2 linked regions of the Macaca mulatta genome follow. The protein of the gene in region 1 purifies or fractionates together with the protein of each later gene. This does not show direct contact. Links are inferred from orthologs where the notes say so. Each region holds a gene or a part of one and is shown in the gene's direction. Other genes may lie near its edges. The genes, in order: MCMBP and MCM8.

The links.
Region 2: the proteins of MCMBP (region 1) and MCM8 purify together in Homo sapiens (co-immunoprecipitation; 3 studies listed by BioGRID and IntAct, with this or other methods). This does not show direct contact. The link is inferred for Macaca mulatta from reciprocal best matches to the Homo sapiens genes MCMBP and MCM8.

What each region holds. Positions count from the first base shown.
Region 1 is NC_133414.1:131,947,824-131,951,644, reverse strand, and holds part of MCMBP (mini-chromosome maintenance complex-binding protein), read left to right. Parts: intron 1-464; coding exon 465-616; intron 617-2,316; coding exon 2,317-2,417; intron 2,418-3,821. UniProt on the Homo sapiens protein: Associated component of the MCM complex that acts as a regulator of DNA replication.
Region 2 is NC_133415.1:78,003,554-78,007,374, reverse strand, and holds part of MCM8 (DNA helicase MCM8), read left to right. Parts: intron 1-572; coding exon 573-782; intron 783-1,922; coding exon 1,923-1,999; intron 2,000-3,821. UniProt on the Homo sapiens protein: Component of the MCM8-MCM9 complex, a complex involved in the repair of double-stranded DNA breaks (DBSs) and DNA interstrand cross-links (ICLs) by homologous recombination (HR).

The sequences.
Region 1 (3,821 bases):
CCAACAACTGGTTTGATTCTTGATACATACTGGATATTAGTAAGTATTTGGTAATTTATTGCGGTATGGTTTTATTCTGCTTAGTTAATAGAAAAAGTATGTTCTACCAAGGAGTTTTGCTGTCGGTAGACCATGTATTCCTTAAATCAAAGATGTCAAAGTAACCATATTGCAAATCAGCTTTTGAAACTGGTTATACATGAGATTTGATGGGAGGAATTTTTTGATACCTTTATAGTAAGGGAAAAAAATAAATTTTTAGATCTTCATATTTATCTTTGTTCTCTTACAGATCAAACAAAAGACTTTGTTAGTATGTGCTGTTTCCTTAAAAACTGTAACAACTTGAACTTTGCAAGCTCAGAAGCATCACATATGTCAAACTTGAAAGGCACTTATGGAACATTCTTTTTCTCCAGGAGGGCTTAGAAATGACTAAGTGCAATGCTATCCTTTGAATTTAGGGAGTGTTGGTGGTCTTCAATGGTGTGGAGAGCCAAAACGTTTGGAAACTGAAGCTTCTACTGGGCAACAGCTGAACTCTCTGAACTTCTCTTCTCCTTTTGATTTGAATTTTCCATTGCCAGGAGAGAAGGGCCCTGCGTGCCTTGTGAAGGTAATAAAACCTTTCTTAGGTCTGACATTGACATGTTATGTGTCTCAGAAAGTAGCTTAGTGTCTGAGCATTTGCATTCGTTTTCTTATGCTGGACTAGCTATAGCAAATCACTGCAAATTTAATAGCCTAAAGCAGCAAAAGTTTATCATCTTACAGGCTTTAGGTCAGAAATCCAACATGGTCTCACCGAGGTAAACTCCTTTGTATGTAGGAGTTGGACTACATTCCTTTCTTGGAGCCCCTAAGGGAGAATTTCCTTGGCTTGTGGCTCCTTCTTCCATATTCATAGCCAGCAACATTGCATTTGACCATTTTTTTCATGGTGACATCTCACCTGACCACAACCAGGAAAGGTTCCCCGGTTTTAAGAATCTGTGGATTACATGGGGCCCACACAGTTAATCGAGGATAATCCCCCCCATTTCAAGGTTATTAATCACACCTCTGCACGTTCCTTTTGCATATAAGCTAACATTCACAAGTTAAAAGAATCAAAGAACATCTCAAATGCAGAAGCAGAACAACTTTTAAATTGTCTGTTCCCTTCCTGTATCATTTCTAACATATAATCTTCATTTTTGTCTTCTTCCTTCTCTCAGCAAAACCTATTTCTCACTTGTATTTAAAATAAAACAGAAGGAAGAAAACTTTTAATAGTTTTTTCTTCCATCTTACTTATTCTAGTGTTTTGATGCTGATAAATGAGCAAGTGACAGAAGGTTTTAAAATGATTGTTAAGGATTTCCATCCTTTGTGCATTTTGGGTTTTCTTGTTTTGGGGGCAGGGGGGTTTGTTTTGTTTTATTGAGGCAGTCTTACTCTGTTGTCCAGGCTGGTGTGCAGTGGCATGATCTTGGCTCACTGCAACTTCTACCTCCTGGGTTCAGGCGATTCTCGTGCCTCAGCCTCCTAAGTAGCTGAGATTACAGGCATGTGCCACCACACCCAGCTAGTTTTTTGTATTTTTCCTAGAGATGGGGTTTCACTATGTTGGCTAGGCTGGTCTCGAATTCCTGACCTCAAGTGATCCACCCACCTCAGCCTTCCAAAGTGCTGGGATTCCAGGGGTGACCACTACACTCAGATTCTCAGTGGTTTTAATTGAAATGATACTTCAGTCATATGGCACAGGGACCAAAATGACTACTTTTTTCCCTGCCATGCTTCTGCCGGGTCTGTTCAGTAAATAAATGGCCTTGACGATTACTAAAGTCCATCATGACAATTTTGAATGTGTTTTTTTTTTTAAATTGTGAAAAATCTTCTGGCCATTCTAAGTTTTGTGTTAATCCAATGTTGCAGTTTATGAATAAATGCAAAGTTAATCATCTTGTTTTTGTTTTTCCTTTTCTTGATGTGGTTAATAGATTTTGAGATAGTGCACGTTTCTAGTTTTAACTGTCAGCCTTTGGGAAAAGCCCTTTTTTAATTTTAGAAAAAGACTTTTTTTTTTGTAGTACTGTGGTATATTGAAAAGAGATATTAGTCTGGAAGTTAGGCATCCTGTGTTTTGGTTTTTCACTTATTTGCTAACTAGCAGAGTGACTCTTGGTCTCAATTTATAAAAATTTATAAAATAAAGGACTTGCTTTAAGGTCCATTTCCTGATCTAAAATTCTAAGATGTTAGTACTCCAGGACTAGTATCTTAAGCTTTGTGTCTGTTCTAACAGTATGATTTCATGTGGTCTCTTGTTAGGTTTATGAAGATTGGGATTGTTTCAAAGTAAATGACATTCTTGAGCTGTATGGCATCCTGTCTGTGGATCCTGTGCTGAGTATACTGAATAACGATGAAAGGTGAGTCTGTGTGCTCTTTTTCTGGTCTCCTTTATTTTTATGTAATTTCAAGTTTTTGGGAAAGTTACAGGATGGTTTTGAAGAACTCGCTTCCCGGATGTACCAGTTGTAAACACATGCACCCCATGCGCTCTGTCATTCATTTGTGCTCTCTATGGATGCACACATTTTTCTGAAACACTTCAAAATATATTGCAGAAATCAAACCCTTTTACCCCAACTGCTTGTCAACATTTCCTAAGAGCACTGACTTTCTCATATGTAATCAGAGTACAGGTATCAAAACTAGGAAATTTGCCACAAATACACAATACACTAATCCACAGTCTATACTTAATTTTACTAATTGTCTTAATCATGTTCTTTCTTACACTTCTCCCTTCCGCATCCCCCAGTCCAGGGTTCGGAAGCTCGCTTATTCTCTATTTCTACTGAGTTCATACTGTATTTCTGATTCCAGTTCAGCACCACAGGTGTCGTTCTACTTGTTCTCCTTTCTGTGTTAGTGTAACTCTTAAACTTGATTCCCATTTTTCACAATCTGTCATTTGCACATTTGTACAACATAGAGAAGGGAATTTCAGAATTGTTAACTCATACCTCTATAAAACATAAACCTAAATAACTAGAGTTCAATCTGAAATAGTCCTCAGCCTTTGTCTTTCATGGTCTTGCCACTTTTTTTTTCCCCTTAAACAACAGAAATATATGTCTTCCAGTAGTTCTGGAGACTGGGAAGTCCAAAATCAAGTTCCCAGCAGATGTGGTTTCTAGTGAGGGCCCACTTCTGGTTTGCAGGTGGCTGTCTTCTCACGTGGTAGAGAGCAGAAAGCCTTGACGTTTTTGAAGAGTGTAAGCCAGTTACTTGTTTCCTCATGTACTTGTTACTTGTTAGACTCAATGTTGCGCATTTTTGGCAGGAATATTACAGAAGTGATGTATCCTCAGTATGTTAAAGCAGGAGGCATGCGATGTCAGTCTGTCCCGTTACTGGTGAGGTTAATTTTCATCAGTTGGTTAAGGTGTGTCTTCCAGATGTCTCTTCTCTAAAGTTACATTTCTCACTTTGTAATTGACAAGTAACTTGGAGGAAGATACTTTGGGACGTAAATATCCAGTTTCTCATTAAACTTTCACCAATTTATTTCAGCATTAATTGATGATTCTTGCTTGAATCAGTTATTACAACGTTGGCAATTCTCTAACTCAGTACATTTATTTATTGGCATTCTACTATAAAAGATATCTCTTCCATGTGTTTATTCAAGTAATTTATTTACTTATATTTAGTATGGACTAATAGATTCTGATTTTATTCAATGTTAGTATCATTATATTATTTTGAGACCCAAGTTTTCCCAGATGTAGCTAGTGGGAGCCACTTTAAGCAGGTGCTGGGTCCTT
Region 2 (3,821 bases), on another chromosome or scaffold:
GAGGCTGAGGCAGGAGAATTGCTTGAACCTAGTAGGCAGAGGTTGCAGTGAGCTGAGATCACACCACTGTACTCCAGCCTCAGTGACAGAGAGAGACTCCGTCTCAAAAAAAAAAAAAAAAAAAAAAAGGAATCTAAGTCAGATAAAGTGTTTGGTTGATTTGGAGAGTCTTTTAGAATTGTGTATTTGTCTAAACAAGTTACTTATGTATTTTGAGACATAGTCTCACTCTGTCGCCCAGGCTGGAGTGCAGTGGTGTGATCTTGGCTCACTGCAACGTCCATCTCCCGGGTTCAAGAGATTCTCCTGCCTCAGTCTCCCAAGTAGCTGGGACTGCAGGCGCGTGCCACTACACCCGGCTAATTTTTGTATTTTTAGTAGAGATGGGGTTTTGCTGTGTTGGCCAGGCTGGTCTTGAACTCCTGACCTCAGGTGATGTGTCTTCCTTGGCCTCCCAAAGTGCAGGGACTACAGGCGTGAGCCACTGCACCTGGCCTAAACAAGTTATTTTAGCAGAAAGATTTTTTTTGCCACTTATCTTTGTTATCTTGGGCCTTTTAATCATGCTTCAGGTGGTTCCTGGAGAAACAATAGATCCCATTCCCCACCAGCTATTGAGAAAGTACATTGGCTATGCTCGACAGTATGTGTACCCAAGGCTATCCAAAGAAGCTGCTCAAGTTCTTCAAGATTTTTACCTTGAGCTCCGGAAACAGAGCCAGAGGTTAAATAGCTCACCAATCACTACCAGGCAGCTGGAATCTTTGATTCGTCTGACAGAGGTTTGTTTCTTTTTATGGTCTTGCTTTTTTGGCTTAAAGGGGAAGGGTGTGCCTTGACTTCTCTTTTGAAGTATTGTCTGCATAACTGACTCCGTTTTTCTTTCTATTGAGAGACGTTAGAAATGGATGGATGAAAGTTTTTAAAAAGATTTTGTCATGTCTGTAACATATCAAAGTATAGCTACTTCTTTCTAGTCATACAATCGATTACTTAGCATGCAACTTTTGTTTTTCTTTGACTGACTCTTAGGAGACTCCTGGAATGTCTGAAAAGTGGTTAGGTTAACTAGGATTCTGAGATCCCAAGTTGAGTATATGGGAACACGGAATGTGTCAGGTATCTTGAGTATTTTATTTTATTACATGACAGGTTCACAAGGATAGTGCCTGTGTTTTTAACAGTAGTAATATCTATTCACAGTTGTGAAATACTAAAAGAACTCCAGCAGTTAAGATTAGCTAGCTTAGAGTTTGGACTTCTAGCTCCTAAAATCTGATTAACTCCTCTTTGTTGTTTTACCATATTGGTTAGGCATGATTTCCTAAAAGCAAAAGGCAAGGGAAAACCAAGTGTATTTTATCATCCAATCTCCTGAAATGAATACTGAGAAAGATACATTAATAAGTAAAAACGAGTTTTATCCTTATTTTAAGTGAGTTGTAATTTCATAGTCAAGGTTTCAGATTTTATTTTATTTTTTTTGCCCTGAGTCAGGGTCTCCCTCTGTCACCTAGGCTGGAGTGCAGTGGCATGATCAAGGCTTATTGCAGCCTCTCCTCCCAGACTCAAGCGATCCTCCCACCTCAGCCTCCCAAGTAGTAGCTGGGCATACACCACCGCACCCAGCTAATTTTAAAATTTTTTTGTAGAGACAGGTCCTCACTTTGTTGCCCGGGCTGGTCTCGAGCTCCTGGGCTCAAGTGATCTTTCCACCTTGGCCTCCCAAAGTGCTGGGATTATAGGCGTGAGCCACCACCGCCAGCCCAGAGAATTATTTTCATATTTTGACTTCTGATGTTATGACCTTCCTCACCTAAAGGTCAGTTTTTGTGTAAAATTAGTAAATGAAGTAAAGCTTAGACATACTGTGGTAAATATATTCATCTTTTGTCATCTGAAAATGGTGTTTTCTTTTAAAGGCACGAGCAAGGTTGGAATTGAGAGAGGAAGCAACCAAAGAAGATGCTGAGGATATAGTGGAAATTATGAAATATAGGTAAGATAAAAATTTCAAATAGTTTTAAATGAAATACCAGTTATCTTCCCATCTCAAATTAGGCAATAGGCCAAGGCTGCTTTTATTTAGCCCATTGGGTCACTTATTTTCCTCCTGAACAGAGTATCGTTTCTTAGTTTAAAATATTTCTCACTGTGTAAATAATCTTAAAAATTTTTTTGAATGAGTAATACATTTACATAGTGCTATAATCAGTTCCAAAACCTATTGGAGAAGAGCTAGCTCCTGTGCTATTTACCACCTACTCGCCCTTCACCCAGAAACCCATTGCTTTTCCATAAATAGTCTACCGATTATACTCTTCTGTATCAGTTTTGAATTTTAACAATATATTCAGAGATCTTTTCTTATTAGAGATTCTTTTTTTATAGCTACAGAGTATTCTATAGTGTAGATATACTATATAGTATATTTGATCAGTTCCCTTTTGACACATAGATATTTTCCATTCTTGTGCTTTTAAATAATGCTACAGTGAGTAATGTTCTATGTAAGATACTATATACGTGGGTAAGTTGTACACCTACATGATAAATTCTCAGAAGTGATATTTCTGGGTTCAACAGTAAATACTATAGGTTTTTGATAAATATTGGTAAATTGTATCCTTTGCATTTTATATCATTTAGTAGATAATGATTCCTAGAAGGTAGAAAAGAAAAATTAATTGAGCATATATGTTTACCTTAGACATAGACTTTTAAAAATCAGAAATGTTATTTTAGGTAGGTTTTTTATTCCAGCTAAAAAATTTTTTAATAGGTCCATACTTTCATAAGCTTCAAAATTCCAAAGTTCAAAAAGTATAGGTCGGACACAGTGGCTCACACCTGTAATCCCAGCACTTTGGGAGGCTGAGGCAGGTGGATCACCTGAGGTCAGGAGTTCGAGAACAGCCTGGGCAACATGGTGAAACCCCGTCTCTACTAAAAATACAAAAAATTAGCCAGGCATGGTGGTGAGCGCCTGTAATCCCAATTACTTGGGAGGCTGAGGCAGGAGAATTGCTTGAACCTGGGAGGCGGAGGTTGCAGTGAGCTGAGATTGTGCCACTGTACTCGAGCCTAAAAAAAAAAAGTATATAGTGGAAAAAGTTTCCTCCTACTCTGCTTATTTAATAGCTACCCCGTTCTTCCTGCTAGCCAGTGGCAATTATTAGCAGTTTTTTGTGTGACTATGTATCTATATATTCTTTTTTCCTCTTTGTAGACAAATGGTAACTATAACAACATACCATATACATACTATACCTTGTTTTTTTCATTTAAAATCCATTTTTAATATCCTCTCATAGCAATGAAAATACATATCTGTTAGGAATCTACTTTTCCAAGACCAAAAAATATATTGAAGATGAAATTATTTATCTTACTTTGTTAAGTAATTTCTGATTCTTCTAAGGTAGATGAATTCTTTTGTCCTAGTAGCTGCTGATTCTGGGGCTTGCGTCGTGTCAGAACCAGGTGGTTTTGCCCAGCTATTCCCCTTTGGCTGTGAACAAAAGTGCAGCATAGCTGGAAGAGCAAGGGCTCTGGAGTCCAACCTGGAGCTGCCATGGCAAGTTACACACTGCTTCTCAGTTTCCTCTGCCGTAAAACACACCACAAAGGATTGTGCTCTGAGGTGTCATGCAGTGATGCTCTATAAAGTGATAAATAGGGTTCTAATACATTAGAGGACACTCAATAAACACTGTTTACTATCAATAGCGCAAGTCTTTTTTTTTTTTTTTTTGAGACAGAGTCTGGCTCTGTGGCCCAGGCTGGAGTGCATGTTGGCTCACTGCAACCTGCGCCTCCTG